2 linked regions of the Oryctolagus cuniculus genome follow. The protein of the gene in region 1 purifies or fractionates together with the protein of each later gene. This does not show direct contact. Links are inferred from orthologs where the notes say so. Each region holds a gene or a part of one and is shown on either strand. Other genes may lie near its edges. The genes, in order: VSX1 and WDR20.

What was found.
Region 2: the proteins of VSX1 (region 1) and WDR20 purify together in Homo sapiens (affinity purification with mass spectrometry; 3 studies listed by BioGRID and IntAct, with this or other methods). This does not show direct contact. The link is inferred for Oryctolagus cuniculus from reciprocal best matches to the Homo sapiens genes VSX1 and WDR20.

The regions. Positions count from the first base shown.
Region 1 is NC_091442.1:49,515,059-49,529,821, reverse strand, and holds the start of VSX1 (visual system homeobox 1), read left to right. Parts: upstream 1-8,076; 5' UTR 8,077-8,570; coding exon 8,571-8,997; intron 8,998-11,536; coding exon 11,537-11,615; intron 11,616-12,053; coding exon 12,054-12,177; intron 12,178-13,333; coding exon 13,334-13,514; intron 13,515-14,763. UniProt on the Homo sapiens protein: Binds to the 37-bp core of the locus control region (LCR) of the red/green visual pigment gene cluster. May regulate the activity of the LCR and the cone opsin genes at earlier stages of development. Dispensable in early retinal development.
Region 2 is NC_091451.1:45,402,512-45,417,246, reverse strand, and holds the start of WDR20 (WD repeat-containing protein 20), read right to left. Parts: upstream 9,059-14,735; 5' UTR 8,902-9,058; coding exon 8,653-8,901; intron 7,971-8,652; exon of another isoform or gene 7,821-7,970; intron 1-7,820. UniProt on the Homo sapiens protein: Regulator of deubiquitinating complexes. Activates deubiquitinating activity of complexes containing USP12. Anchors at the base of the ubiquitin-contacting loop of USP12 and remotely modulates the catalytic center of the enzyme.

The sequences.
Region 1 (14,763 bases):
CCAACCATGGGGGTGTTACCAAACAGGGAGTGTGACCAAACACTGAGAGTGTGACCAACCACAGGGAGTGTGACCAACCATAGTGTGACCCGACCCCATGGTGAGTGTGACCAACCACAGCGAGTGTGACCAAGCATGGGAAGTCTGACCAATCACATCGGGAGGGTGACCAACCATGGTGAGTGTGACCAACTGCAGAGCATGTGACCACCATGGGGAGTGTGGCCAACCACAGGGCATGTGACCATCAAGGGGAGTACAAACAACCATGGTGAGTGTGACCTACCAGAGGGCATTCACCACCATGGGAATGTGACCAACCACAGGGGTGTGACCCTCCAGGGGGGTGTGACCAAACAGGGACTGTGGCCAACCATGGGGAGTGTGACCAAACACTGAGAGTGAGCACTACTGGGAGTGCAACCAACCACAGGGAGTGTGACCACCCATGGTGAGTGTGATCACCACAGAGCATGTGACCAGCATGGGGAGTATGACCAACTGTGGCAAGTGTGACCAACCACAGGGCATGTGACCAACCAGGGGGGTGTGACCAAACATGGAGTATAACCAAACACTGAGAGTGTGAGCAACTACTGGGAGTGTGACAAACCATAGTGTATGTGACCAACCACAGACATGTGGCCACGATGGGGAGTATGACGAGTATCACCAAAAATGGAGGGTGTGAACACCACAAGGAGTTGACCCTTTATGGACAGTATGACCAACCATGGGGAGTGTGACCAACCACAGGGTGTGTGACCAACCAGGGGGTGTCACCAAACAGGGACTGTGGTATACCATGGGAGGTGTGACAAACACTGAGAGTGAGCAACTACTGGAAATGGGACCAACCACATACAGTGTGACCACCCACAGCGAGTGAAACCAACACAGAGCATGTGACCAGCATGGGGAGTATGACCAACCATGGCGATTGCGACCAACCACAGGGTGTGTGACCAACCAGGGTTGTATGACCAAACAGGGACTATGGCCAACCATGGAGAGTGTGACCAACCACAGGGCATGAGACCACCATGGGGATTGTGACCAACCATGGCAAGTGTGACCAACCACAGGCTTGTGACCACCCATGTGGAGTGTGACCAGTCACGGCAAGTATAAACAAACATGGGAAGTGTGACCAACCACGTGGAGAGTGACCAACCATGGGGAGTGTGGACAACCTCAGGGAGTGTGACCAACCATGGAGAGTGTGACCAACCACAGGGCAAGAGACCACCATGAGGATTGTGACCGACCTTGGTGAGTGTGACCAATCACAGGGCATGAGACCATCATGGGGAGTGCAACCAATCATGGCAAGTGTGACCTACCACAGGGCATGTGACCACCATGGGAATATGACCAACCAGGGGGGTGTGACCAAACAAGGGCTGCGGCCTACCATTGGGAGTGTGACCTATCACTGAGAGTGTGAACCACTAGCGGGAGTGTGACCAACCTCAGGGAGTATGACCAACCACAGAGTATGAGACCACCATGGGAAGTCTGAGCAATCACGGGGACAGTGACCAACCATGGCGAGTGTGACCAACCACAGAGCATGTGACCACCCTGGGGAGTGTGACCAACCGTAGTGATGTGACCAACAATGGAGGGTGTGAACACCACAAAGAGTTGACCAATTATGGACAGTATGACCAAGCATGGTGAGTGTGACCAACCACATGGTATATGACCAACCATGGGGAGAATGACCAACCATGGAGAGTGTGACCAACCATGGCGAGTGTGACCAACCACAGGGCATGAGACCACCATGGGGAGTGTGACCAACCACGGCGATGTGACCAACCACAGGGCATGTGACCATGATGGGGAGTGTGACCTACCATGATGAGTGTGACCAACAACAGAGGGTGTGAATACCACAAGGAGTTGATCAATTATGGACAATATGACAAACCATGGGGAGTGTGACCAACCACAGGGTGTGTGACCAACCAGGAGGGTGTCACCAAACATGGACTGTGGTCTACCATGGGGAGTGTTACTAAACACTGAAAGTGTGAGCTCTATTGGGAGTTTGACCAACCACAGGGAGTGTGACCACCCATGGGGATTGTGATGAACCATGGTGAGTGTGTCCAAGCATGGGAATTGTGACCAACCATGGGGAGAATGACCAACCATGTGAAGTGTTGACAACCTCAGGGAGTGTGACCAAGCATGGTGCGTGTGACCACCATGGGGATTGTGACCAACCATGGCGAGTGTTACCAACAACGGAGGTTATAAACACCACAAGGGTTGAACAATCATGGACAGTATGACCAACCATGGGGAGTGTGACCAACCACAAGGGGTGTGACCACCAACGTGGGTGTGACCCACTTAGGAAAGTATGACCAGCCACAGGGAATGTGACCAACCATGAGGGGTGTGACCAACCATAGGGAGCATGACCACCACCAGGAGTTGACCAACCACAGGGAGTGTAACCAAGCATGGGGAGAGTGACCAACCACTGGGAGTGTGACCAACCACAAGGAGTATGACCAACCACGGGGAGTGTGACCAGCCATGGGGAGTGTGACCAACCCCAGGGGAGTGTGACCTACCATGGGGGGTGTGAACAATCACAGGGAATGTAACCAACCACAGGGAGTGTGAACAACTATGGGCAGTGTGAACAACCATGGTCAGTGTGAACAACTATGGTGTGTGTGAAATCTGCCTCAATAGGCAGAAAATGGAGCAGTGAAAGATTAAAACTTTTAGAAGCCTTCACATAAATAAAAATTAAAGACAAAAATAGCACTAAGCACAAACACATGTGAGAGACCTCCCCAGCTTTCTCATCTCCCCATGGTGATGCTGCTGTTTCAAGCCTGATGCTCAGGGTGGGGTCCCAGACTCTCCACTGACAGTGCCGTGCAAAGTAGATGCCAAGGAGACTTTCCTTACTAGGGGTGACACAAGGAGGAAATATGTTGATGGAGGTGACGCACTTCTCATACCTGGCACAGAGGAGGACTCCACTTACAGGGCCACTTGTTTTAGCACTGATATATAATATTTAGCACTCGTGGGGCCGGTGACATGGCTCACTTGGTTAATCCATCTGCAGCGCCGGCATCCCATATGGGCGCTGGGTTCTAGTCCCGGTTGCTCCTCTTCCAGTCCAGCTCTCTGCTGTGGCCCGGGAGGGAAGTGGAAGATGGCCCAAGTGCTTGGCCCCTGCACCCACATGGGAGACCAGGAGGAAGCACCTGGGTCCTGGCTTCGGATCGGCGTGGCTCCGGCTGTAGTGGCCATTTGGGGAGTGAACCAATGGAAGGAAGACCTTTCTCTCTCTCTCTCTCTCTCTCTCTCACTGCCTAACTCTGTCAAATAAATTTAAAAAAAAAAAAATTTAGCACTGGTATATAATACTTTTCAGGAGTATTTTCTCTTTGCTACTGTTCTCTTTGTGGTGCCAAGCTGACTCTTCCCTAGCCTCCTGGCTGGCTGGTGGCAGATTTCCTAGCACTGAGCTTGGGTGTTGCCCAGAGGGCCTCAGAGCATCTGGGGGTGACTGGGTGTTTTTGGGCCCAGGGCATGCTTGCTCAGCAAATGAGGACACACAGTTCACTGGAAGTCCTTGGTTCTAGAATCCAGAGGCATCAGAGCTCCCAGGGGCTTGTAAACAGACATCCCAGGATCCTCCCACTCTGGGGTTCTGGGTCAGTAGGGCCAGATGGGGCCCTGGCCTTGCTGTCCTCACTGGTTCAGAGCTGATACTGCTAGCCCAGGGCCCACACTTTGAGACCCACTGATAAATGGTCAGGGGACCACTTCCAGGAGCCACGACTTGGAAGGTAGACCGTGTGTTTCTAGGGGCTATCAGAAGACACGGCTCTGGACACCTGAGGACATACACAAAAGGACCAAAGGGAGGGGCAGACAAGATGGCCTCAGGAGCACCAAGTTACATGATGTCTAGAACTTTCCAGCTGCGGTAGGGTCATCCGGGAAGGGCCCATGGCTGGGAGCCGCTTGGGCTGGGCTTCAACAGGTAAGGGACTTCTGCTCATACCTGGCACTGTCAGTGTTGTGTTAAAACACGGGCTCCTGCTGTGAAGGGGAGGAGGGGGGTCTCTGTCCTGTTCCTGGGTCTGGGTGGGCTTGGGGCTACTTAGACCAGTCACACGCTGGTGAGCCATACATGTGATGCGACTGCTCTTCCATCACCAGCAAGGAAGGAGCTGGGAGTTGGTGTCACCATGGTGAGGAGCAACAGGGATGTGCTCCAACAGGGACCACGGTGGCTGTGGGACAAGGAGGGAGTGGGGAGAGCATGGAAGAAGTAGGAGGGGCACCAGACAGTGACAGTGTTCCTGGCTGCAAACCACAGAAAACAGGTGCATCCAGCTGACACAGAATCGAAGTCATAATAGCTGTGCGTCGTAAGAAGCCAAGAGCAGTCAGCAATGGCCGTCACCATCAGTAGCTGGAGGTGATCTTGGGATGGAGGGTGGAGAGCTGAGGACAGTTCCCAAGATCCTATTCTGGCCCCTGGGGTGGGGGCGGGGCAGTGCAGACTGGAGAGGAAGCAGCTGGATCCAGCTCTGGGTGGGCTGATTCAGTGCTCCTGGGAGACCCTAGGGGACAAATGGGCAGGAGACCATTGGAGATGGGGACCTGGCTGCAGGAGCAAGTCCTGGGCTGGATATGGACCTCAGGACCTTTGCTGGGCCGTGATGGTTGCACCATGGGTTTCTGTGTGTACGTGTGGTGGTGGTGGGGAGTGGGAGAAGCACCCAGGTTGATGCTGAGTGGGCATTGCAGAAGTCGTGCAGGGCAGGTACTTCGGGGAACCCCAGTGGGAAGTGAGATGGGGACAGGAAGCCTCCCAGGTTGAGAGCTTCAAAGGCAGAGCCTGAGACAGGGTCTGGAGGCACGAGATTTATTGGAGGTGAGGAGGGAAGGAGGTCCCAGGAGAAAGGGAGGCCAGAGATGGGGCGGGGAAAGGGGCTGAGCAAGGCTCGGACTTGTGGCCTGACCCTCGAGGAGAGTGGATTCTGGAGAAATAACTACAGAGCTGTCCCTTATTGAAAGGGGAGGGGTGGTCTCACATGGTACCTCGTATCAGTTGTCATATGTGGGTGTGTGCTTGTGTGTGTATGTGTGTGTTTATGTGTGTATGTGTATTGTGTGGGTGTATGTGTGTTCATGTGTATATGTGTGTGCTATGTGTATGTGTGTGCATGTGTATGTGTTTGTGTGTATGTATGCATACGTGTGTTTATGTGTGCATGTGTATGTGTGTTTTGTGTATATGTATGTTTATGTGTGTGTATGTGTATGTATTATGTGTATGTGTATATGTATGTATGTATGTATGTGTTTACGTGTACATGTGTATGTGTTTTGTGTATATGTGTGTATTGTATGTGTGTGTGTTTTTATGTGTGCATGTGTGTGGTTTTTTTGTATATGTGTGTCTGTGTGTGTGTTCTGGATCAAGGAGTTTTGTCAGTCCAGGGCAATTCTCTCTCCATGAGCGGGCAAGGTGAGCTGCTGGCAGCCCACATTCCAGAAGCTGGGGAAGGTGCCCCCAGGGTCCCTGTCTGTGGGGAGCAAGGGCACCAGGGAAGGAAGCCACGTGGGGCTTGACTGCAGCAAGGAACTGCACCACAGTCCTGCTGGGTGCCTCTGGGAGAAGCAAAGGATGCAGGCTGTTGATAATCCAGCCTGTGTTGGTCTGTGGTCCAGGGCTGCTCACACCTGGTAGTTCTTGGCATCTCAGGCTGGCGGACAAAGTGGACTTAGCCTAGAGAAAGCGGCTGGGCCAGGTGCAGGTTGGGTAGCCAGGCAGGAGATGGGGACGGGGCACAACAGTGCCTGCTACAGAGGCTGTAAGGAGGGCTCAAAACCCAGCCAGAGGCAGAGGAGAATCAGACGGACAGCAAAGCCAGGGACTCCCAAGGTGGCGCTTCTTCCCACCCTGGCGCCCCACGGACTGCTGGCCCCGGCCAGTTTGGCCCATCCAGTCCCAGCCTGGAGCTGTGAAGAGCCCAAACGCACCCAGGCAGGACCGATCCTCGAGAGCCAGTGGCCGGGCTGGAAGCCGGAGGCGCACTCGCGGTTGGGCGATAGAGAGGGCTTGGAAACCTTCCCTGGAAATAATGAGTGGAGAACCCCTTTACTGATTAGTTAAATCCCGGATAATCCTGGCTGATGAAGGCAGAGCCAGACCCCTTAATGGATTTTTAGGGTTCCAAAACGACTTCTTGGGAGTGGCCCCGGGCGATTGGCACGGGGGGTGAGGAGCAGGGAGGCTGGGAGGACCCCATCCTCCCGGCTTCCAAGGCTCAGAGGCGACCCCCAGAAGCGGGAGTACAGGTGGACGCAGCCGCCTGTGAGGCGCCCCGCAGACACGCAGGAGTTGGAGCCCTTCCTCCATCGCTGTGCATACTGAGCGAAGCGCTTGGCACGGCTCTGTACCCCTGGAGATGGGTCCCTGAGCTGATCAGCTGGGGTTAGGGATGGGGTCAGCGCTGGGTCCGGCCGGCGGGAAGCGGTTCTCGCCAGCCAGAGGTACCGTGCGTTCGCCGCCGCCACCCAGCCGGACTGGAATCCAGCCTGCCCTCTACTCGGATCCCCAACGCCCCTAGTGCCTGGTGGGGCTGGAGACGGCGTTAGGCGGGGAACTACGGACGGCCTCAGCGGCCCCCACCCCATTCGCGGTCTCTGCGTCCCCTTTCCACGCATCTCTCGCAGTGCTGCGCTTGTCCCAATTTCTCTTTGAGCGTCCAGTGGGACCAGGTTTATTAGGCTGTTTCTTTCATACGCAAAATGAGTTTGGTAAGATCCTTCGCTGGCCCCAGGCCGGGGTTATCTTGCGGAGCGACCGAGATTGGGATGACCTTGCTCGACCTTTTGTTGTCTGTGCGTCCCTGGCCATCTCCTAGGGGTCCCCAGGCAGCAACTGGGTGCGGAGGAGAGACAGGGGATCCCAGATCCTCGAGCAGCAGACGGTGGCGTGGGCCTCCCGGGCTGCGGACGCGGTGCACGCGTGGGCCAGAGTTCCCTTGAGCGTGGGTCACCTTGGGGCTCCTGTCCCGCCTCTCCGCCCCGGGGCCGGGCTACAGAATGTGTAGAATCGTGGGAGTTTCGCCCAACTGGGACCCCCAGATTCGGCTCTACGAAGGACGACGCCTCAGAGGGGAGCTCTTCGGCAGGGACCGGCGTCCCCAGAGCCTAGTCCGTAAACCCAGAGATAAATTTGGAGGGGGAGGGGAGAGGAATTCCTGGCCGAGCTGAAAACAACGCTGGCGTCTAAAGCCGCTGCCGCCCCCGCCCCCGCCCCCGCCCTGGACAATTACCCCAAAGGAAAGTTATTGTTTTGCTAATCCCAGGAACAGCTTGCCAGAGCAGATTTGGATCTTCCTTTAATAATGGAAAGTTAATGCGTAGCCCCTTGTAATTATCTCGATCGGGAGGCCCGCGTGTAATCCGCTCGTTTAGCTGACGCGCGGCGAGCTGGAGACCGGCTTTGCAAGCTCCGCGCTGCGCGCAGGCAGCCGTGCCGCACCCGGGAGATCCGGAGGGTCCCCCTGGCTCTCTCGGAGACCCCTGGCCGTGGGGACTGCGAGAGACTGCTTCCAGGGCTCTCGGACTGGGCCCAGGGCTCAGAGTCACAGGGATCGGGTGGGCTCAAAGCCCGATCCAGCAAGCGGCTTTACTCACTTGCCTGCTTTGGCGCCAACTCGAACAAAACGCAAACACAACTTTCTTTCAATAATCCTAAAACCTGGCCACGGTTTGTTATCTCCGGTGAGGACTGCGCCCCAGGAGGCACTTTTTAATTCAACTTCCGCCACCACCGTTTAAACGTGTTTATATAAAACGCTGGTACATATATATTTAAATAAAAATAATAATTGCTTATCTGAAATTCTGACTTCACCTGGCCTCTGGCCAGGCACCCTGCTCTGTGATCCACGCCCTTCCCCCAGCGCGTGTGGGTTTTCGACAACTCTCCACCCACCCACTCTAGTGTGGGTTTGGCTGCAGGCAGAGAGCAGGCACGGGTTACTTTTTTTTTTTTTTTTTTTTACTTCTTTCCCCATGGGGATTTTCAGAGGTTCCTGCGGTGAAGTTGTAGGGCGAGCGGGGATCACTTTGGTTGTGGATGGGGGGTGCGATGCGAAGGGGCCCTAGGAGTTCATGGGTCGTGTCCAGTAAGCGTGGAGGATCTGGAAGGAAGGGAGGCTGCGCCTTGGACCCACAGGCAGAAGGAGAGTTGTTTTGTCCCTGCCCACACACACAACCCCCCTACCCCCACCCCCACCCGAGAATAGGGCCGGGGCGGGCAGGGGACAGCTGGGGAGAAGAGGGACTAAGGGAGCGACCGCGGGGCCCGCAGCTGCGGGGGCGGCGACCGAGGGGAGGGGAGGGCCGTCGGCCGCATCCCGTCTCTCGGGGTCCCTAACAGCGACGCGCCCTCGCCCAGCTGATTGGAGTGGGCAGCCTAGCCGTATAAAACGTCCTCCGAGCTGGATCACCAACCCAAAGTGACCCAGAGAGGGTCGAGCTTCGCCTCCTGAGACGACATGACCACCGGCGGCGACGCGATTCCCGACGCGCGCGCCCGGAGTCGGGCGCAGGTGCCGGGTCGGTCCCCCAGCGGCTCGCGCCCACGCGGCTTCGCCATCACCGATCTGCTGGGCTTGGAAGCCGAGCTGCCCGCGCCCGCGGGCCCTGGGCCGGGATCGGGCTGCGAGGGCCCAGCGGCGGCTCCGTGCGCTGGCCCCGCACTCGGCGGCTCCTGCCTGGCGCGCGGGGCGGTCCCGTTGGGGCTGGGCCTCCTCTGTGGTCTGGGTGCACCACCGCCCGCCGCCGCTCCGGCGCCCTACCTGCTGCTGGCCGACGTGCCTTTCCTGCGGCCGGCGGGGCCGGAGACAGCCGCCCCGCAGCTCCCCGGGCGCCGGCCGCCCGCGCCGGGCAACCAGAAACTCAGCGAGAGCGCCTCGACGTCCGGTAACCAGGCCCTGCTTTTCTGCCCCTGCCCCTGATCCCGGTGGCTTCAAGCGCGGTCGCTCTCACTTGCGGTCCCGGAGCGCAGGGAAGTCCGGATCCCAGTGGGAGGCGTAATCGCGCCGCAGCGCCGCGGGCCCCAGGGGGAACCCCAATTCTCCAGAATCTGGTGCCCACAGCACTGCAGGGGCCAGATGGAGCCTTGCGAGGAGATCCTGGTGTCTCGGCCTCTACCTCCGCGCCAGGAGCGAGCGGGGATCGGGAAGGCGGGGGCGGGTCCTGTCTACCAGCTGCACTGGCTGCGGGCTGGCAAAAGCTTTCGGGGCCGGGTGCCCAAGAACTGTCCGCCTCTGGGGTGCTGAAAAGGGACCGCGCGCGGAAGAGAGGACGCTGCCTGGCTGAATGAATGCACTATGGCTAACCACAGCGCTGTGGCTAACCTGCGTTTGGTTCTGGGTGCACCTGTCACCCCCAAATCCAGGCAGAGTATGGGGAAAGAGAAGGAAGCGGTGAAACCCCGTAACTGACAAGGACCAAGAAATGGAGAGGCTTGCGTTGCTGGGGGAAGACGAGGGAGAACTACAAGGAAAATGAGGATCTAGGTACCCACGACTAGAACCTAGAAGGGGCAGCCAGGCAGGCAATCCCAGCAAGAAAGTGCCGCGGGTATCGCCAGCCTGGAAAGAAAGCTAGGCAGTAGGCTGCACTTCAAGAGCCTCTCTGTGACCTGGAGTGACCACAACCCTGGCTCTTTTACTTGTTTCCTTGAAAATGCAGAAACCGATTTCATAGGATGGGTTCTTTTTTCCACAGACACTGATAAGAGAAAAGGAGAAAGGAATTAAATCTTGCTTTGTGGGGACATTTCTGGGAGAGCTGACCTGAAAGACATACCCTGTGACCACTTGTTGCATGCAACTTTGTCTTCAAAGGAAAATAGAAACAAGGGGGATTAATTTAAATGCTATATTTTAAATCCAAGGCATGCAAATATCAGTATCAACACTTTACATGCAATCAATATAAAATGTTTTACTTTGTCCACTGAGTATTCTGTGCTTACAGCAGATCTCAACCTGTTTAGCCACGTTTCACTAATGAGCCAAGTGCTCATTAATATTATGTGGCTAGTTGCCACCAGGTTAGCAGCATAGCATGGAATCCTATGTCCAAGCATTTGGTTTTCTGGTGAGCTGATGTAGAAGGATCTAGTGTTATTTTATTATTTTCATCTTTATTCATCCTTTAAAAACATTTGAAGTGGGACAGCAGGTTAAGCCATTGCTTGTGATACTGGCATCCCACATTGCAGTGTTGGTGGATGTCTAGGCTGCCCTGTTTCCCAACTAGCTTCCTGCTGATGGCTCTGGGAAGAGTCTAAATACTTGGACCCCTGCCCCACCTATGTGGGGTAATGGAATGGAGTTCCTGGCTCCTGGCTTTGGTCTTGCCCAGACCTGGCTGTGGGAGTCATTTGAATGAAATGGCAGATGGAAGCTCTCTCTCTTGCTCTCTATTTCCCCACACCCCCATCGTTCTGCCTTTTGAATAAATAATTATTTTAAAAAACTTGAAGCAATTATACTTTTAAAATTAAAATATATATTGATTTTATTTATTTCAGAAGTAGACACACACACACATGCAGAGCCAGACAGGACTCCCATCTACTAATTCACCCCCCCCCCAAATGTCCACAACAGCTGGACCTGAACAGACTAAAGCCAGGAACCAGGCATTCAATTCAGGTCTCCCACATGAGTGAGAGGGACTTGATTACTTGAGCCATCACCTGCTGCCTCCTACAAATTACACTGACAGGGAGCCAGAGCCAGGACTCAAACCCAGACGTTCCAATGCCCCCACTGGCATTATAATTGCTGAACCAGACACCTGCCTGCAATCATTGTTTATAAACCATGGATCCGACAATACTCTGGTCTTCTTGCCTCTCTTTCCATCTGGACCTTTTGATGTGATGGCCATCAAAAGATGAGGCACAAGTGGAGTGGTTCTCCCAGGGCATCTGGGAACCACCCGACCCTGCCTCCAGGGGTTCTGAACAGGGTGCAGCTCTGTCGCCTTCACCTTCTCTCCCTGTGAGGGGTGTTGGTATGGGGGTTAAGAGGAGGAGAGGGGAGGCACAGGCAAGTGAGTGGATCTAGAGGCTGTGGGGACAGACAATGCAATCAGTGGCTGAGTGGCTTTGGCTGCACACACTCTGGCATTTGAATTGCAGCTTCACCATTCACTGCCTGTGTGATCTCAGGACAGTCACTTAGTATCTCTGTGCTTTGGTTTCCATGTCTGTCAAAACAGGATAACAGCAGCGGGGGGTGGGGGGGGGGTGGGTGGGTAGAGTTTTTATGTTTTATGGAGGACTGACATAAGGTGTGGACGTTGGACTCTAGTGAGTGCTAGCAGTGTGGGTTTGTGTAGGCAGATGCTCATATTCCCAGTAGGATTGTGACTTCAACCCTCACATAAAATCCAGGACACGCAAACAAGCTTCATGGCTCTCTTCTTGTCTTTGTGCGGGCAGATGAGGACAGCCCGTCTGAGGAGAACAGTGACTTGAAGGAGTCCCCCATTCTGGGCAAGAGGAAGAAGCGGCGGCACAGGTACAGGGTGGGCTGTTCTCTCTGGCCACCTTTCCTGGGGACCCCGCACCCGAGGACTCATGGCCCTGGGATATGGCAGCGTCCCTTGTAACTCCTAGCGGGCAGGAGGAAGGGCACAGTATCCACCAGGGGGCGATAAGCCTCCAACTCCCAGGAGGCTACGGAACAATCTTCCCAGCAGGCGATAGCCATGGTTTTGTGCATCTGTAAGATGGGTCTTGTCAAAACGAACGGATGAAATTCATTTAGAAAACACGAAAGAATTGTCTTTGTTTGAAGCAGGCTCTGGTTTCTATGGAGGCTGATGGCTAAGAGTGGGATGTCCAGTACTCAGGATGTGGCTTTTGGGCTTGAGCATCATGGTGATGGTGGGGAGCAGTAGGTGGGAAGCCTGCCTTCCCGGCGTGGACTTGAGTGTGTGCTTCTGACTCTCCACAGGACGGTTTTTAGTGCCTTGCAGCTGGAAGAGCTGGAGAAGGCGTTCAGCGAGGCCCACTACCCTGATGTGTATGCCCGGGAAATGCTGGCCATGAAAACTGAGCTCCCAGAAGATCGAATCCAGGTGTGTATGTGTTTCCCACACAAGCCACAAGGGGGCGTGCTATCCCCCACCTGGGCGAGCGCACCCACAGCCACCCCCCACAGCACAATGCGTAGCATCCTTTAGCCAAAGGCACCATGAGAAGATTGTCCCTGGGATCCTCCTGCGTTTTGTCCTTTTACTGTTATTTACTATTGAATCATTCTTTAGATTTCCACAAGAACGTGCGCTAGAAACTGCGCAGATATATCACTGAGAAATCATGGGACTGTCGTCCTTTCTAGAGAAATCAGCTGTCACGATGTGCTGTCATATGGGATGAATGTATGGGCATGTAGGTGTATCCAGCCCCAAAGGGTGACCTGCACACTCATGCACACATATACAATTGCGTGCACACCCACACTCAGGCACACACACGCACGCACGAGAGACTTTTGTTCTCTGTTTTGCCACAGCTGTCCCTAACTCACTCATTTTTTTTTGTTTGTTTGTTTTGTTTGTTTGTTTTTGACAGGCAGAGTGGACAGTGAGAGAGAGAGACAGAGGGAAAGGTCTTCCTTTGCCGTTGGTTCACCCTCCAATGGCCGCCACGGGCGCGCTGCGGCGGGCGCACCGCGCTGATCCGATGGCAGGAGCCAGGAGCCAGGTGCTTTTCCTGGTCTCCCATGGGGTGCAGGGCCCAAGGACCTGGGCCATCCTCCGCTGCACTCCCTGGCCACAGCAGAGAGCTGGCCTGGAAGAGGGGCAACCGGGACAGAATCCGGCGCCCCGACCGGGACTGGAACCCGGTGTGCCGGCGCCGCTAGGCGGAGGATTAGCCTAGTGAGCCGCGGCGCCGGCTCCCTAACTCACTCATTTTTAAAAGCTGCAGCAAGCCCACAAGATTCATTTTACAAACTGCTCCAAAGAACTTTTCCCCATTAATGAAAACAGCAAACATCCGCAGCCCACGCCTTCACCCAAGGCAGCGAGGAAAGAGAGCTTTGATGTCATCGTGCCCATTCCGGATTGCAGAGAAAGCCCTCCAGCCCCCTGCTGGAGCTAGCAGGGCATGCCTGCCCTGCACGGGTGGGAGGCGGACCCGCTTTAGAACTCAGAGCAGGGACGGTTCGGGTCTGCCAGACCACCCTCCTCACCACCTACTCTCTCTGTGTCCTCTCTTGCCTCCATCCAGGTCTGGTTTCAAAACCGGAGGGCCAAGTGGCGCAAGCGGGAGAAGCGGTGGGGCGGCAGCAGCGTGATGGCCGAGTACGGGCTGTATGGGGCCATGGTGCGTCACTGTATCCCGCTGCCTGACTCCGTGCTCAAGGCGGCTGAGGGCGGTCTGCGCGGGGCCTGCGTGCCCTGGCTCCTGGGTAAGGAGAAGGCCCTGGTGTGTGTGTTTGTGTGCATTTGTGTGTACGTGCATGTATGTGTGAACGTACACGCACACCCAGCACAGCCGCTGGTGAAGCAGAGCAATGTCCATGGACACAAATTCAGGCACAGAACCTTGCCTCTAATGTCTGGTGAGTGATAAGGCCTGCAGTGGCTGAGAGTGCCTGATCATTTAACCTAGACACGTGCAGGCAGTGCGTGGAAAGATCCTGTCCAGCTGTTCACAGCTGGGGAACTTATTCGGAGTGCACCTGCGTGTTGAATGCTGTTAGAATGTGTAGAAACCATGTAATTCCGGGGCACAGGTTATAAGAACAGGGCATTGCTGAGCCAGAGACCTAGAGCCAGGACCCTACCCCTGCCCCTGGTTCTGGTTCTGGTTCCGCATTCGCTGCTTTGTGTCTTCTGGGCTGCAAATCTCCTGGGCAGGTCCAGTTTTTGCTTCCCCCAGTGGCGTTGTAGGTTGGGAAGGAGTAGGTGTCTTTGTCCAGCAAACACATCTGGAATATCTACCCAGCAGACTGGTGCAGGAATTCTGGTGTTAGTACTCAACTGGGCTCTGGCTGGGTCCACACCAAGGAAGAATGAAAGACACAGACAGGAAGCAGTGAAGAGCAGAGGCTGCAATGATAAAGGAAAAGGCAGAGAAAATCCTAGGCACCTAGACAGGCTCCTAGAGGAGGAAGCTGTCTGGCGGGCTTTGAGACAGAGTTTTAGCTTGGTAAATGGTGACTTCTTTCGATTGGCTGGCTAAGATGTCAATCTTGCAAGTAAGCCATCAGCCAGTCATCAGGTTCTTTAGCTGTTGTCAGCTGACTTGTTGCAGAGTTCTGGGCAATGAGCTAGATCTTTGGGCTGCTGGAGCAACCTCCCCCACCATGTCTCACCCTGTTCTCTTATTTTTTTTTTTTAATTATTTTTATTTTTATTTTTTATTTTTTTGACAGGCAGAGTGGACAGTGAGAGAGAGAGACGGAGAGAAAGGTCTTCCTTTGCCATTGGTTCACCCTCCAATGGCCGCCGCAGCCGGCGCGCTGCGGCGGGCGCACCGCGCTGATCCGATGGCAGGAGCCAGGAGCCAGGTGCTTTTCCTGGTCTCCCATGGGGTGCAGGGCCCAAGGACCTGGGCCATCCTCCGCTGCACTCCCTGGCCACAGCAGAGAGCTGGCCTGGAAGAGGGGCAACCGGGACAGAATCCGGCGCCCCGACCGGGACTGGAACCCGGTG
Region 2 (14,735 bases), on another chromosome or scaffold:
TAAATACAAGAGCTCTTCAAAGTTTGTGAAAAATGAAATTAAAAGACATGTTTATTTTAGTTCAAGAAATAGAAATCCATGCATACTTTTTCCATAAAATGCAGTTTCTATGAACTTTTTAAAGACTCTCACCTACTGTAGGAATTGTTTCAGTAACAACTCTAGGCAGTACATTTCTGGCCTGGAATCTTCAGATAGAATGTTAGAGGATAAGCTCCTTTGGCTTAGATATTAAGCAATTCTGAGCACAGACATTTCTATAAAAAGTGTTTGTTAGTCAGTACATGGATCCCATAGGTAACGTGATTTCATAACACTAGGTTCAAAGCAATCTGTGGGGGCTGGTGCTGTGGTGGAACAGGTAAAGCCGCCACCTGTAGTTGCAGGTATCCCATGTGGGCGACGGTTCGAGTCTCGGCTGTTCCACTTCCAATCCAGCTCTCTCCTGTGGCCTGGGAAAGCAGTAGAAGACAGCCCAAGTCCTTGGGCCCCTGCACCCGCGTGGGAAGATCCAGAGGAAGCTCCTGGCTTCAGATCAGTACAGCTCTGGCCACTGCAGCCAACTGGGGAGTGAACCAGTGGATGGAAGATCTCTCTCTCTCTCTGGGCAACTCTGACTTTCAAATAAATAAATAAATAATTTTTTTAAAGAAGTAATCTGTGCCATTTGGTTATTTTCCAATACTACTTCTCTTTTTTTTAAGATTTTATTTATTTATTTGAGAGCTAGAGTTACAGACAGTGAGAGGGAGAGACAGAGAGAGAGAGGTCTTCCATCCGTTGGTTCACTCCCCAAACGGCCACAATGGCCGGAGCTGAGTTGATCGGAAGCCAGGAGCCAGAAGCCTCTTTCAGGCGTGGGTGCAGGGGCCCAAGCACTTGGGCCATCTTCCACTGCTGTCCCTGGCCATTAGCAGAGAGCTGGATCAAAGAGGAACAGCCGGGACTAGAATAGGCACGTATATGGGATGCCAGTGCCGCAGGCAGAGGATTAACCTACTTCACCACGGCTCCAGCCCTACTTCATTGTCCCTTGCTACACAATTTCCCAACTTTAAGAAAGCTAAATTTGGGCCAGCGCTGTGGCTCACTTGGCTAATCCTCCGCCTGCGGCACCAGCACCCCAGGTTCTAGTCCCAGTTGGGGCACCAGATTCTGTCCTGGTTGCTCCTCTTCCAGTCCAGCTCTCTGCTGTGGCCCGGGAAGGCAGCGGAGGATGGCCCAAGTGCTTGGGTCCCTGCACCCGCATGGGAGACCGAGAGGAAGTACCCGGCTCCTGGCTTCGGATCTGCGTAGCGCTGGCCGTAGCGGCCATTAGAGGAGTGAACCAAAGGAAGGAAGACCTTTCTATCTGGCTCTCTCTCTCACTGTCTAACTCTGCCTGGCAAAAAAAAAATAATAATAATAAATAAATAAAAAACAAAGAAAGCTAAATCTGTTATCTACCAACAGTAGTTCTAAATGATTTAAAAAGATACAAGCAACTGAGGCTGGCATGGTGTAGCAGGTATGGCTGCTGCCTGTGACATCTGCCACCTGCAACATTAGCATCCCAAACAGGCAGGAGCTAGTTGGAGAACCCTCCAGCTCCACTTCCGATCCAGCTCTCTGTTGATCTGCTGGGAAAGCAACGGAGGATGGCTCAAGTGCTTAGGTCCTGTATCCACGCAGGAGATCCAGAAGCAGCTTTGGGCTCCTGGATTCAGCCTGGTCCAGCCTCAGCCATTGTAGCCATTTGGGAAGTGAACCAGTAGATGGAAGATCTCCCTCCAACCCCCACCCATCTCTTCCTCTCTCTGTGTAACTCTTTCAAATAAATAAATACATCTTTAATTTAAAAAAAAAAATGAGCTACTAAAAACCACCCACGTTACTTTTGTGCTCAAAATTGAAAAGGCTTTTTAGCTTCTGAATATCTTTCTAAAGTTTGGGAGAGATGGTTTTATTTAATCATTCACTCAACACATGTAAGGGCTCAACTCCACTGAGCACTGGGAAAGCAGACAGCAGGAAAGACACCGTCCTTATTTTAAGAGGGCTTTGTGTGTGTGTGTGGGGGGGGGGGGGGGGGGTGCTGTGGTGCAATGGTTAAAACCCTGGCCTGCAGCACTGGCATCCCACTGGGTCCTGGCTCCTGGCTTCAGATTGGCTCAGCTCAGGCAGTTGTGGCCATTTGGGGAGTAAACCAGGGGATGGAAGACACACCTCTCTCTCTCTCTATCTTTCAAATAAATAAAATCTTTACCAAAAGAGAAAGAGAGAGAACTATTTTAAAAAAAAAAGGGGTGGGCACTTTGTGGGGCTGACACTGTGGCATAGCAGGTAAAGCTGCCACCTGCAGTGCAGGTATCCCATCTGGGTGCTAGTTTGAGTCCCAGCCGTTCCACTTATGATCCAGCTCTCTGCTATGGCCTGGGAAAGCAGTAGAAGTTGGCCCACGTCCTCTGCGTGGGAGGCCTGGAAGAAGCTCCTGGCTTCCGATCCGCCCAGCTCTGGCCGTTTGGGGAGTGAACCAATGGATGGAAGACCTCTTTCTCTCTGCCTCTGTGTAACTCTGCCTTTTGAATAAATAAATCTTTTTTTTTTTTTTAAGAAAAGAGGGCTTTGTTTATAGAAGAGATAGATTATCACACAGAGAATTTACAAATTGGGAAAAGTGCTAGGAAAGCAAAGTACAGGCTGCTCTGAGAACTTGTAAAAGGGGAAAACTGACCTATCTTGGGAATTCAAAGAAGGATTTGCTGAAGAAGTGATGGTTAAGCTGAAATCTGAAAGGGGAACATTCCCATTTATGTAAAAACAGATCTCCATAAAATGAGATTGTTCCTATAAACCCAGCTACCTTTAGCATCTCTATCCAAAAACAGGCGTGGGGAATCTTTTCTTCTGCCAAAGGCCATGTGGATATTTATAACAGCATTCACAGGCCACACTAAAATAATCAACTTAAAACTTAGCCTGCCATGGGGAGGGTGTTGTGGCACAACTGGTTAAGCTCCCACCTCCAGCACTGGCACAGGATCACTGGTTTGAGTCCCTGTTGCTCTGCTCCGCACTCAGCTCCCTGCTGATGTGCCTGGGAAGGCAGCAGAGGATGGCCCAACGACTGGGTTCCTACACCCATGCGAGAAGCCCCAGTTGCTATGACAATCTGGGGAGTGAATCAGCAGATAGAAAATATTTCTCTCTCTGTAACTCTACCTTTCAAATAAATAAATAAATCCTAAAAAGGAGAGGAGAGGAGAGGAGAGGAGAGGAGAGGAGAGGAGAGGAAAAGGAAAAGGAAAAGGAAAAGGAAAAGGAAAAGGAAAAGGAAAAGGAAAAGGAAAAGGAAAAGGAAAAGGAAAAGGAAGAAAGGAGAAAGAAATCAGCCTGCTACAGATCCCCTGGCCCTTGGGTCCCGCCTGCGGTCGCCCTGGCAGGCCCAGACCCAGTGATTTGGCAGACGCTTTCATCCACCGCCCAGGACTGCCACGACGATGCAGTGAAATAAAGTGCGGCAAAACGCTGAGGTAAATTTTGAAGTGCTTTGCTTATCAGGTATCTCTGTGACCAAAAAGCGAGATCCGTTTCTTCCTTTTTTTTTTTTTTTAATTTTTTTTAAAATTTATTTATTTATTTTTTGACAGGCAGAGTGGACAGTGAGAGAGACAGACAGAGAGAAAGGTCTTCCTTTGCCGTTGGTTCACCCTCCAATGGCCACCGCGGCCGGCGCGCTGCGGCCGGCGCACCGCGCTGATCTGATGGCAGGAGCCAGGAGCCAGGTACTTCTCCTGGTCTCCCATGGGGTGCAGGGCCCAAGCACCTGGGCCATCCTCCACTGCACTCCCGGGCCACAGCAGTGAGCTGGCCTGGAAGAGGGGCAACCGGGACAGAATCCGGCGCCCTGACCGGGACTAGAACCCGGTGTGCTGGCGCCGCAAGGCGGAGGATTAGCCTAGTGAGCCGCGGCGCCAGCCACTGTTTCTTCCTTATAATCAGTTGAGGCGCCAGCATTGTGGTGGAGTGGGTTAGGCTGCTGCCTGTGATGACAGCATCCCATGAGCGCTGGTTCTAGTCCCGGCTGCTCTACTTCCAATCCAGCTCCCTGTTAATGCACCTGGTTAATCAGTGGACCATTGTCCAAATGTCTGGGCCCCTGCCACCCATGTGGGAGACGCAGATGGAATTCCAGGCTCCTGGCTTCAGCCTGTATCAGCCCCAGTTGTTGCAATCACTCTGGAAGTGAAGCGGCGGGTCGAAGATTGGTCGATCTCTCTCTCCGTAACTCTGCCTTTCAAATAAAACAATCTTAAAAACAAAACAAAACCTCAGTGTACTTCATTTTCCTTACTATGGGAAAAAAAATTATGATACAACTTTGCATCCCCTCAAAAGCCTTAGTTTTCTCTGAAAAAGGTGAAACTACTTAAACTCTAATGTCTGTTCTAGTTCTCGACAAGCCCTATCAACATCCTAACAGTGCTACAGGCAGGGGCTCGGCGTAGCAGCTGAGATGCCAGCTGGGGTGTGGCATCCAGCACTGGAGCTGCTGCACCTGAAGCCCAGTCCCATCCCAACCCCAGCTCTCTGCCTCGCAGATACTGGAAGGCAGCTCCCTGTCACAGACACGGGAGGCCTGGATTTTGTTCCCAGCCCAGGCTGTTGCAGGCATTTGGGGAGTACACCAGCAGATGGGGAGTTTTCTGTCTCTCTAACAAATCAGACAAATAAATGGGACAATACTGTATTCTTCAGGGTAGGTGTCAGACTACTCCCTCATCTATGCCTTCTCCCCAGGACTCCATGCTTCTTTTTTGTTTTTGTTTTTGTTTTTTTGACAGGCAGAGTAGATAGTGAGAGAGAGAGACAGAGAGAAAGGTCTTCCTTTGCCGCTGGTTCACCCTCCAATGGCTGTTGTGACCGGCGCACCGCGCTGATCTGATGGCAGGAGCCAGGTACTTATCCTGGTCTCCCATGGGGTGCAGGGCCCAAGCACTTGGGCCATCCTCCACTGCACTCCCGGGCCACAGCATATATCAGCATATAGTGCACAGCTCAAGATTTAAGTTCTTTAAAGATCCATTTTCCATTCACCTTCCATGTGGATTTAAGTTACATTTACTCATCCAAATTAGACCTTCTGAAGGATCCCAATAATTGTTATAAAATTATATACCTTGAAGAAAATAACTTAAAAAGTTGAAATGGCCAACTGTCAAAAATACATTTATGACTATTAACTCTCAAAAATAAATTTTGGCTTTCTAATTAAGAATAAATTATTTGGGCCAGTGCTGTGGCAATGTGGGCTAATCTGACACCTGCAGTGCAAGCATCCCATTTGGGTGCCAAGTTCAAGCCGTTCCATTTCCGATCCACTCCTGCCAACGCACCTGGGAAAGAGCAGAAGATGGCCCAAGATCTCCCCTGAGCACATGCGGGAGATCCAGACACAGCTCCTGGCTCTGGTCTGGCCCTGCCCTGGCCATTAGGGTCATTTGGGTAGTGGACCAGCAGATGGAGGACTTCCTTCTCTCTCTGCCTCTGCCTCTCTCCCTCTATGTAACTCTGCTTTTCAAATAAACAAACAACTCTTTAAAAAATGAATTATTTGGGGCCGGTGCTGTGGTGTAGAGGGTAAAGTTGCCGCCTACTGTGTTGGCATCCCATGTGAGTGCCGGTTCTAGTCCTGGCTGCTCCATTTCCAATCCAGCTCTGGCCTGGAAAAGCAGTAGAAGATGGCCCAAGTCCTTGGGCCCCTGCACCCATGTGGGAGACTGGGAAGAAGCTCCTGGCTCCTGCCTTCAGAGTGGTGCAGCTCCAGCCATTGCGGCCATCTCGGGAGTGAATCAGTGGATGAACGACCTCTCTTTCTCTCTCTCTCTCTGCCTCTGTCTCTCTGTAACTCTGCCTTTCAAATAAATAAATAAATCTTGAAAAAAAAAATGAATTATTTGTTGTATTTAAAAATTGGAAATTGGCCGGCGCTGCGGCTCACTAGGCTAATCCTCCGCCTTGCGGCGCCAGCACACCGGCTTCTAGTCCCGGTCGGGGCGCCGGATTCTGTCCTGGTTGCCCCTCTTCCAGGCCAGCTCTCTGCTGTGGCCCGGGAGTGCAGTGGAGGATGGCCCAAGTGCTTGGGCCCTGCACCCCATGGGAGACCAGGATAAATACCTGGCTCCTGCCATCGGATCAGCGCGGTGCGCCGGCCGCAGCAGCCATTGGAGGGTGAACCAGCGGCAAAGGAAGACCTTTCTCTCTGTCTCTCTCTCTCACTGTCCACTCTGCCTGTCAAAAATAAATAAATAAATAAATAAAAATTGGAAATTAGAGTCACAAAATCAATCACTTACATGGAAAACAAAAACTTTAAAATTACAATGGCTAGAAGAGTTGAAATGTCTGCCAAACAATGGAAAAGCATCTGTACGTTACTATCACTTAGGAGTCGGCACAGTGGCGTAGTAGGTTAAGCCTCAGCCTACAGCACCACCATCATTGGTTCAAGTCCCGGCTGCTCCACTTTCCAATCCAACTCCCTGCTGATGGCCTGGGAAAGCAGTGGAAGATGGCCCAAGTGCTTAGACCGCTGCACTCAAGTAGGAAACCGGGAAGAAGCTCCAGACTCCCAGCTTCAGCCTGGCCCAGCCCTGGCCACTGCAGCCATGTGGGGAATGAACCAGCAGATGGAGGACCTCTCTCTCTTTCTCTCTCCCTCTCTTTGTGCTCTCTTTGTCAGTAACTCTTTCAAATAAATAAATAAATTTTTTTTCAAAAAAGTTACTCCCACCTCCCACATAAAAGTAAGAATTTACAAAAAAAAAAAAAAAAAACAGGTAAAGTGCTCAAACTATGCATATGAGGGCAACTTATGTATTTCAGATTTGTCTGGGGTTTTGTATTAGAAGTTACTAAAAATAACTTGTTTAAAATAATTCCTTTGAAGCTTTGAAAAGCTCTCTTAGTTTCACCCTTCAGTGAAGAGTGTCCCAATTTAAAAAAGGAGCACTAATATAACGATAATTTCAGGTGTGAAGACCTGTTATTATGGTGCCATCCAGGGATACCAGATCCAGATAAGGTTTGCCATTAAAATCCTTCATCAATACTAATCTTTCAAAGAAATTTCTTTTCAAATAATGTCTGCACTAGCACTGCTAGTGTCAATGAACTTGGTTTTAAGCACATCGCCCTTTCATATAAATACAGCTGTTAATAACCTAAAATCCTTAATTTATCTCCAGAGAAAGCACTGATCCTTGCAGTCCTAGCATGGATGTCAAGATGGCAGCTTCCTGTTGGACATCACTCTTCACGCCTGTTTAACTATAGCTTACATCTGCTAGTGTTTCAGGGCTCTCGAGCTCATTGCAGTGAGCTTATTATTAATTATAACACACACACACTGCAATAGTTCCTTTTTAAAGAGGGGCAGTAGAAACTAAGTAACTTACCAAGGTCACCCGACAAGCTAAGTTGGTGACAATGTTGAGAACAGGAGGAAAACTTGGGCTACCACACCTCAGACTTCCGGCCGAAAGCGGAGGGGGACCGCATACCCCACCGTCAAACCCAGCAGTGCACTAGCAAAGGCTCGCCCCAAGGGAAGGGACAACCTGCTCCATTTAGACAGGGCTGTCAGCTTCCCAGCCCCGGTAAGCAGGAAGAAACACGACCCTGGGTCCGGGTCTGTGAAATCACAGGGCCCGTCCGCTCGTGCCTGTGGCAGGCGCCGTTTCCACACTCACTGCACGTGTACAAACGGTGCTTTACCACGGTCTCCTCGCCCCGCCAGGAGCCAAGTCGAAGGCCACCTCTCAGGGAGGACAGTTACTCACACAGAGAAAGAAAAGCCCTCGCAAATCGCTGCTCTTAAAGAGATCGCTGTAAAGGAAGATCACAGACTCCAGAGTCCCTGCTGAGCCGCCCCAGGAGACGGGTCCTTCACAGCAGCTTTCAGGCACCTCCCTGCCCGTGCGGGACACAGTCCGACTTGTTGGACCAGGCTAATCCGGGCAGGCTCACACAGAGCCCCGCTGCACCAGCTCCGGCCACCGAGAACACCGATTCCAGCCCGCAACCGCGGCGCTCGGCCCAGCCCACCCCACGAGGGGCAGGACGACCCCTCCCCAGCAATCGGCCGGGAGGCCGCCCGGGGCGGGGCGGTGACAGCCGAGCTCCGCGGACGTTTTTGGAAACGGCGGTCGGGAAGTGTCAGTGCGGCCGCAGGTGGAGCAGCCCTGCGTGCCCAGAAGGTCCTTTCCGACCCGCTCCAGGCTGACAGACCCCTCCCCGAGCCCCGGCGGGACTCCCACCCCTCCGGGGAAGCCAGGCGGGCGGGCCGGCCACCTCGCCCCGCAGGCCCGCTCCTGGCCGTGTCAGCGCCCGGCGGACCCCGCCGGAGCCGAGGCGGCCGGCTCCCAGGCCTCCCAGCCGGAACCCCGCACGCCCGGCGCCGGCCCCCGGCCCCCACGCCCTCGGAGCGCCGACGCCACCACCCTGCCCACTCCCGAGCCCCCTTTCCTCGGGAGTCCCTCAGCGGAGTTGCCGGCCCACTCCAAAGTAAGAGCGACGGCCACCCCTGCCGGTCACCCCGGCCCCGCTGTCACCGCCCTGCCCCCGGCCTCCGCCCACGCCGCCGGCGGGCCCCGGTGACGCCCGGGTCGGTACCTTGCGGACCCCCTTGTAGATATAGAAGTAGAGCTCCCGGCCCACATTGAAGCAGAGGCGGTCGCCGTTGCCAGACTGGTCGTTGAGGTTTACGAAGGAGACGCGCACAGGGTTGGATCCCTGCGAGTTGAAGGGCACCCGGTTGGGCCGGCTGTACTCCGAGTGCGGCAGCAGCTTGTACAGACCTTCCCGGGTGGTGAATTGGGTCTTAATCTCGTTCATCTCCTTCCCTCCTCCCTCCGTCGCCATCTTGGAAAGCAGCGTTCATCCTGCCCTAAGTGCCCGGATCACGCCCACCGCGCAGGCGCCGTCCCCGGCGTTCGCTCTCCTCCCCCCGCCTCTCCCCTCTGGCCCCGCCCACCCGCGGGCCAGCCCCACGGAGGCGGGCCGAGGGGACGGGGCGGGCTTGTTTACGGCCCGACTGCGCACGCGCGCTGCCCCGGCGGCTCCACGCGGCGGGGCGTGCGCCGGCTCCTCCCCCGGGCGTCGTCTCGCGGCGCCGCGGCTGCGTCCTGGGGTCGCGGGCTCGGGGTGCCGAGGCGCTGGCGGGGCTGCGGGTGCCGCGGGAGCGCCGGTAAGGGAGAGCCGCGGCGGGAGTGAGTGAGGGCGGCCTCCTCGGCTGCTTCCGGCCCTGCGGCGCTGAGGGGAGGGCGCCGCGCCCCGAGGGGTCGGCTCGTGAGGAAGCCGCGGGCGGCGGGGGTGGCGCTCTCGCCGCGGGCTGGGGGCTGTCCCGCCCCGCGGGCCCGGAGGACCCTCGCGACCGGCCCGTGCCGCGGCCCGGAGCCCCTGCGGCGGAGTCGTGCGGGGGAGGACGGTGTGTGTGGACTGGCCGTCTGAGGCGTGAGGCGCGCGGGGCAGCGCGGGGAGCCGGATCATTCCTGTTGCTTCGTAGCTGCTTAGGCGCCCTCAACGAGATGAGCGGAATTGAGTTTAGAAATGCCCCACGCGGACCCGCGAAGTCCAGGTGTGCGAGGGTCGCGGTGACCGCGGACAGCCGCTGGCGTGCGCTAACGCGCTTCTAGGGTGACGTTCTGATGGCATTCCGGGGCAGAGCCAGTGCTTGCCGCACCGAGAATGACCAGTTCCTGCGTGCTGACGTCGTCGGGGGGTCACCAAGGAAGGGGGTTCCCCCTGGGGGGGAGTCAGAGCCGCCAGCCGGGGTTCACCCTGGGGAGGGGGGAGTCAGAGCCGCCAGCCGGGGTTCACCCTGGGGAGGGGGTAGTGTCAGAGCCGCCAGCCGGGGTTCACCCTGGGGAGGGGGGAGTCAGAGCCGCCAGCCGGGGTTCACCCTGGGGAGGGGGGAGTCAGAGCCGCCAGCCGGGGGTTCACCCTGGGGAGGGGGGAGTCAGAGCCGCCAGCCGGGGTTCACCCTGGGGAGGGGGGAGTCAGAGCCGCCAGCCGGGGGTTCATCCCTGGGGAGGGTGTCAGAGCCGCCAGCCGGGGTTCACCCTGGGGAGGGGGGAGAGGAGTGTCAGAGCCGCCAGCCGGGGTTCACCCCTGGGGAGGGGGGAGTCAGAGCCGCCAGCCGGGGTTCACCCTGGGGAGGGGGAGTCAGAGCCGCCAGCCGGGGTTCACCCTGGGGAGGGGGGAGGGTGTCAGAGCCGCCAGCCGGGGGTTCACCCTGGGGAGGGGGAGGAGTGTCAGAGCCGCCAGCCGGGGTTCACCCCTGGAGAGGGGGAGGAGTGTCAGAGCTGCCAGCCGGGGGTTCACCCTGGGGGGGGGGGTGTCAGAGCCGCCAGCCGGGGTTCACCCTGGGGAGGGGGGTGAGGAGTGTCAGAGCCGCCAGCCCCACCCCACCCCCACCCCCGTGATGGAACAGTGCGGCTGACCTAACCTGCTGAGCCTTTCAAAGCGCTGAAATCCTGCCGGGCTAACAGGTATCTGAAATACTTAAACATTTTTGATAGAATTGTTCTGATGTCTTTTGCCTTTCCCTGAAACTCAGGGCTCAGAACTCTATTTTAAGATGTATTCTGTGCCTAGCATGAGTTTGCCCCAATCTCTGGTAACTGAGTTGTTTTACATAAAAATTGTACACATATAATTGGTCATCTTGAGGGATCATGACATCCTGAATAAAAAAACGCTGTTTCCTAGTTAGCAAGGGGGAGAAGTACAATAACACATTTTTTTTTTTTTTGGTGGGAGAAAAACCTCAGCAAACAAAACAAAAACTTTTTAAATCCTCGATTAACTGCACCATTCTGTTATCCCTAATAGCAGTATAACTAAAGCGTTCTATCAAGGCTTTATTTTATATAGTCAGCATTTTCTGTTGTGATCATAGTAATAGTGGGCTGTTCATTTTTCTCATCCATACAGATGAATAATTTCTGTTTTAGTACTTTTAGTTTCCTCCACACGCATACACACTCAAGGATTCAGTAAAGCCCAAATCTTCGTAGCTGGGTCCATCCTAAAGTTCATTTCTGATTTCCATTTTTTTTTCTTTTCTTTTTTAAAAGATAGATTTGTTTATTTGAAAGTCTGAGTTAGAGAGGAGGAGAGATTCCATTCGCTGGTTCACTCCTCAAATGGCTGCAGCGGCCAGGACTGTGCCACACCAGAGCCAGAAGCCCAGAACTTCTCCAGGTCTCCCACTAGGTGCAGGGGCCCAAGCACATGGACGTCTTCTGCTGCTTTCCAGGTGCATTGTCTGGGAGCTGGATTGGGAGCAGAGCAATCAAGCCAGGATGCCAGCACTTCAGGTTTAGCTTAACCCGCTGCCCCATGGCACTGGCCCCTGATTTTCATTTTCAACCCGGATGTTTTTAAATGAAGCTGCACTTCAAATTCATCAGTCTCTAAACTTATCAGTTCCTTTTCCATTTCAAACTTGAATCATTATAGTAATTTCATAAGTATTTCCTTAATGTCCATTTGTTCTCTCAACTACCAAATCAGTTCTCTTAAAACAGTGCTTTAGACATTACATTCTCTGGTCCAAAAACATTTCATGACTTGTAGTATCTGCATTTTTTTTTAATTTATTTATTTATTTTTTTGAAAGTTATAGAAAGAGGGAGAGACAGAGCCTCTGTTCACTGGTTCACTCCACAAATGGCTACAACAACTGGGGCTGGGCCAGGCTGAAGCCAGGAGCTTTATCCAGATCTCTGATGTGGGTGACAGGAACTCAAGCACTTGGCCCATCTTCTGCTTTCCCAGGTGCATTAGCGGGAAGCTGAATTGGAAGTGGAGCAGCTGGGACTGAAACTGGCTCCCATATGGGATGCCAGCATCGCAGGTGGCAGCTTAACCGGCTCTGCCACAGCACTGGCCCCAGTATCTGTGTTTTTTAAGTCATGCACCAGCAGCCTGTACTTTAAAGGTTGCCTAAATCTTTATTCTAGTCATACTGTTCTGCTATCACTCTTAACTTTGTGACTTTGTCCCTTCTTCCTTTTTTCCTTCATAGCTTAGTTTTTTGTTTTTTGATTTTTTTTTTAGTTTTATTGCACAGAGGCAAACAGATCTCTATCAGCTGGTTTGCTCCCCAGATACCCGTAACAACCTGAAACACAGTCCTGGCTTGCCACATGGGCAGCAGGGATCCAAGTACTTGACCCATCTTCTGCTGCCTCCCAGAGTCCAAATTACAAGGAAGCTGGAATCAGCAGAGCTAGGACTTGAACCAGGCACTCTGATACAGGATGCAAGGATCTCACGCAGCAACTTAATGCACCAAATTCCACCCCAGAAAGTGACATTTCATCAAAAACTTCAAAGAAGTAAGGAAGTATGCCATTGGAAAAGCTAAGAAAAGAATAGACCAAGGAGGGGCTGGCACTGTGGCGTAGTGGGTTAAGCCGCCGCCTACAGTGCTGGCATCCTATGTGGGCGCTGTTCGAGTCCTAGCTGCTCTACTTCCTTTCCAGCTCTCTGCTATGGCCTGGGAAAGCAGTAGAAGATGGCCCAAATCATGGGCCCCTGCATCCATGTGGGAGACCCAGAAGAAGCTCCTGGCTCCTGGCTTTGGATCAGTGTAGCTCCGGCTGTTGCAGATGGAAGACCTCTCTCTCTCTCTGCCTCTCCTTCTCTCTCTGTGTAACTCTTTCAAATAAATAAATAAATATTAAAAAAAAAAAAAAAGAGAGAGAGAGATTAATGAATCTTAGACATACTCTGAAGATAAAGCCACTAGGATTTGCCAGCAGACTGGATGTGGCTTTTGGGACAAATGAGAAAGTCAGAAATAATGTAGACATAAGCAGCTAGAGGATGGAAAAGCCATTAACTCAGATAACGGAGGCTGGGGATGGTCGAGAATTCAGCTTGAACACACTGGATATGAAGTATCAGGCATTCGGAGGAAATGTCCAGGAGGCTGTTGGAGAAGCAAGTCTCGAGAGTTCAGAGCTGCTGACGGGTATTTGGCACTCATCAGCAGATAGGTGGTATTTAAGGCCTGGTTGCTGTCAGCCGAAGAGTGAGTGAGGATAAGAAGCAGGACTGAGGACTGGACACTGGGGCAGTCCAAGAGCCTGGCCAGAAGAGTAGGACGATTTACTGATAACCTGAAGCATCCTGCTTTTTTTTTTTTTTTAATTTTTTTGCAACAATATGGATATTTCAGGCCAAAATTACCTTTTTCAGATTCAAAGTAATCCAGTAAGATACTCAAAACTTTTAACTTTGAGGAAAGTTTTGCTACAGTAACCCTGAGAAAGAAAATAGGCATAAATGGGTATCCTTAAGAACCACATTTGAAATACTTGCTGACTCAGTAAGTAAAGTAACCAATTTTAGATTTATCTTGTTGGACAAGCTTATTCTATTATTACAGATCTATTTATTGTACAACCATTATGGGATTTGAAAAGAAATTTGGAAGACATTATATAATATACTGTCCCTAATATAGCATTCCTACTTTGTACAATGTTAAAATTGATACACCATTGGGATTGCTAATTTTTTTTTTTTTTTCAGATTTATCTGTTTGAAAGGCAGAGTAGTAGAACACAGAGAAAAAAACAGATCTTCTGTCTGCTGATTCACTCCCTAGATGACCAGGCCAAAGACAGGAACCTGGAACTCCGTTCAGGTCTCCCACATATGTGGCAGGAGCCCAAGCACTTGAACCATCGTCTGTTGCTTTCCCAGGTGCATTAGCAGGGAGTTGGATTGGAAATGAAACAGCTGGGACTTCAACTGGCACTCTAGGATTCCAGCATTGCAGGCAGTGGTTTAACCTGCTGTATCAGTTATGTTTTGTTTTGTTTTTGGCAGGCACAGTTAGAAAGAGACAGAGAGAAAGGTCTTCCTTTTCCATAGGTTCACCCCCCAAATTGCCACTACAGCCAGCGCACTGCAGCTGGCGCGCTGCACCAATCCGAAGCCAGGAGCCAGATGCTTCCTCCTGGTTTCCCATGGGGGTGCAGGGCCCAAGCACTTGGGCCATCTTCCACTGCCTTCCCAGGCCACAGCAGAGAGCTGGACTGGAAGAGGAGCAACCGGGACAGAATCGGCGCCCCGACCGGGACTAGAACCCGGGGTGCCGGCACCGCAGACGGAGGATTAGCCAAGTAAGCCTTGGCACCAGCAGTTATGTTTTTAAATACAAATTCATGTTGTGCAAAGTATCTTATTTCTATAATCTTTTAAATATTTATTTTATTTATTTATTTGAAAGGAATAGTTAGAGGTCTTCCATATGCTGGTTCACTCCCCAAATGGCAGCAATGGCTAGAGCTGGGCTGATCCAAAGCCAGGAGCCAGGAGCTTCTTCCAGGTCTCCCATATGTATTCAGGGGCCCAAGCACTTGGGCCATCCTCTGCTGCCTTCCCAGGCACACTAGCAGGGAGCTGGACTGGAAGTGGAGCATTTGGCACTCAAACCGGTGCCCGCATGGGATGCTGGCACTGTAGGTGGTGGCTTTACCTACTATGGCTCAGCACTTGCCCATTCTGTAATCATATTAAGTGGATGCTGCACTTTTAATACCTCACATGTATCTTGAAATATAAATGCTTTTATAGAGTCTTGGAGATCTTCAAAGTCAGCACATTTAGTAAGCCCCTACTCTGTCTGTGGTCATTGTGCTAAGAACTTCCATGTACTTTCATTTTCATAATACAAC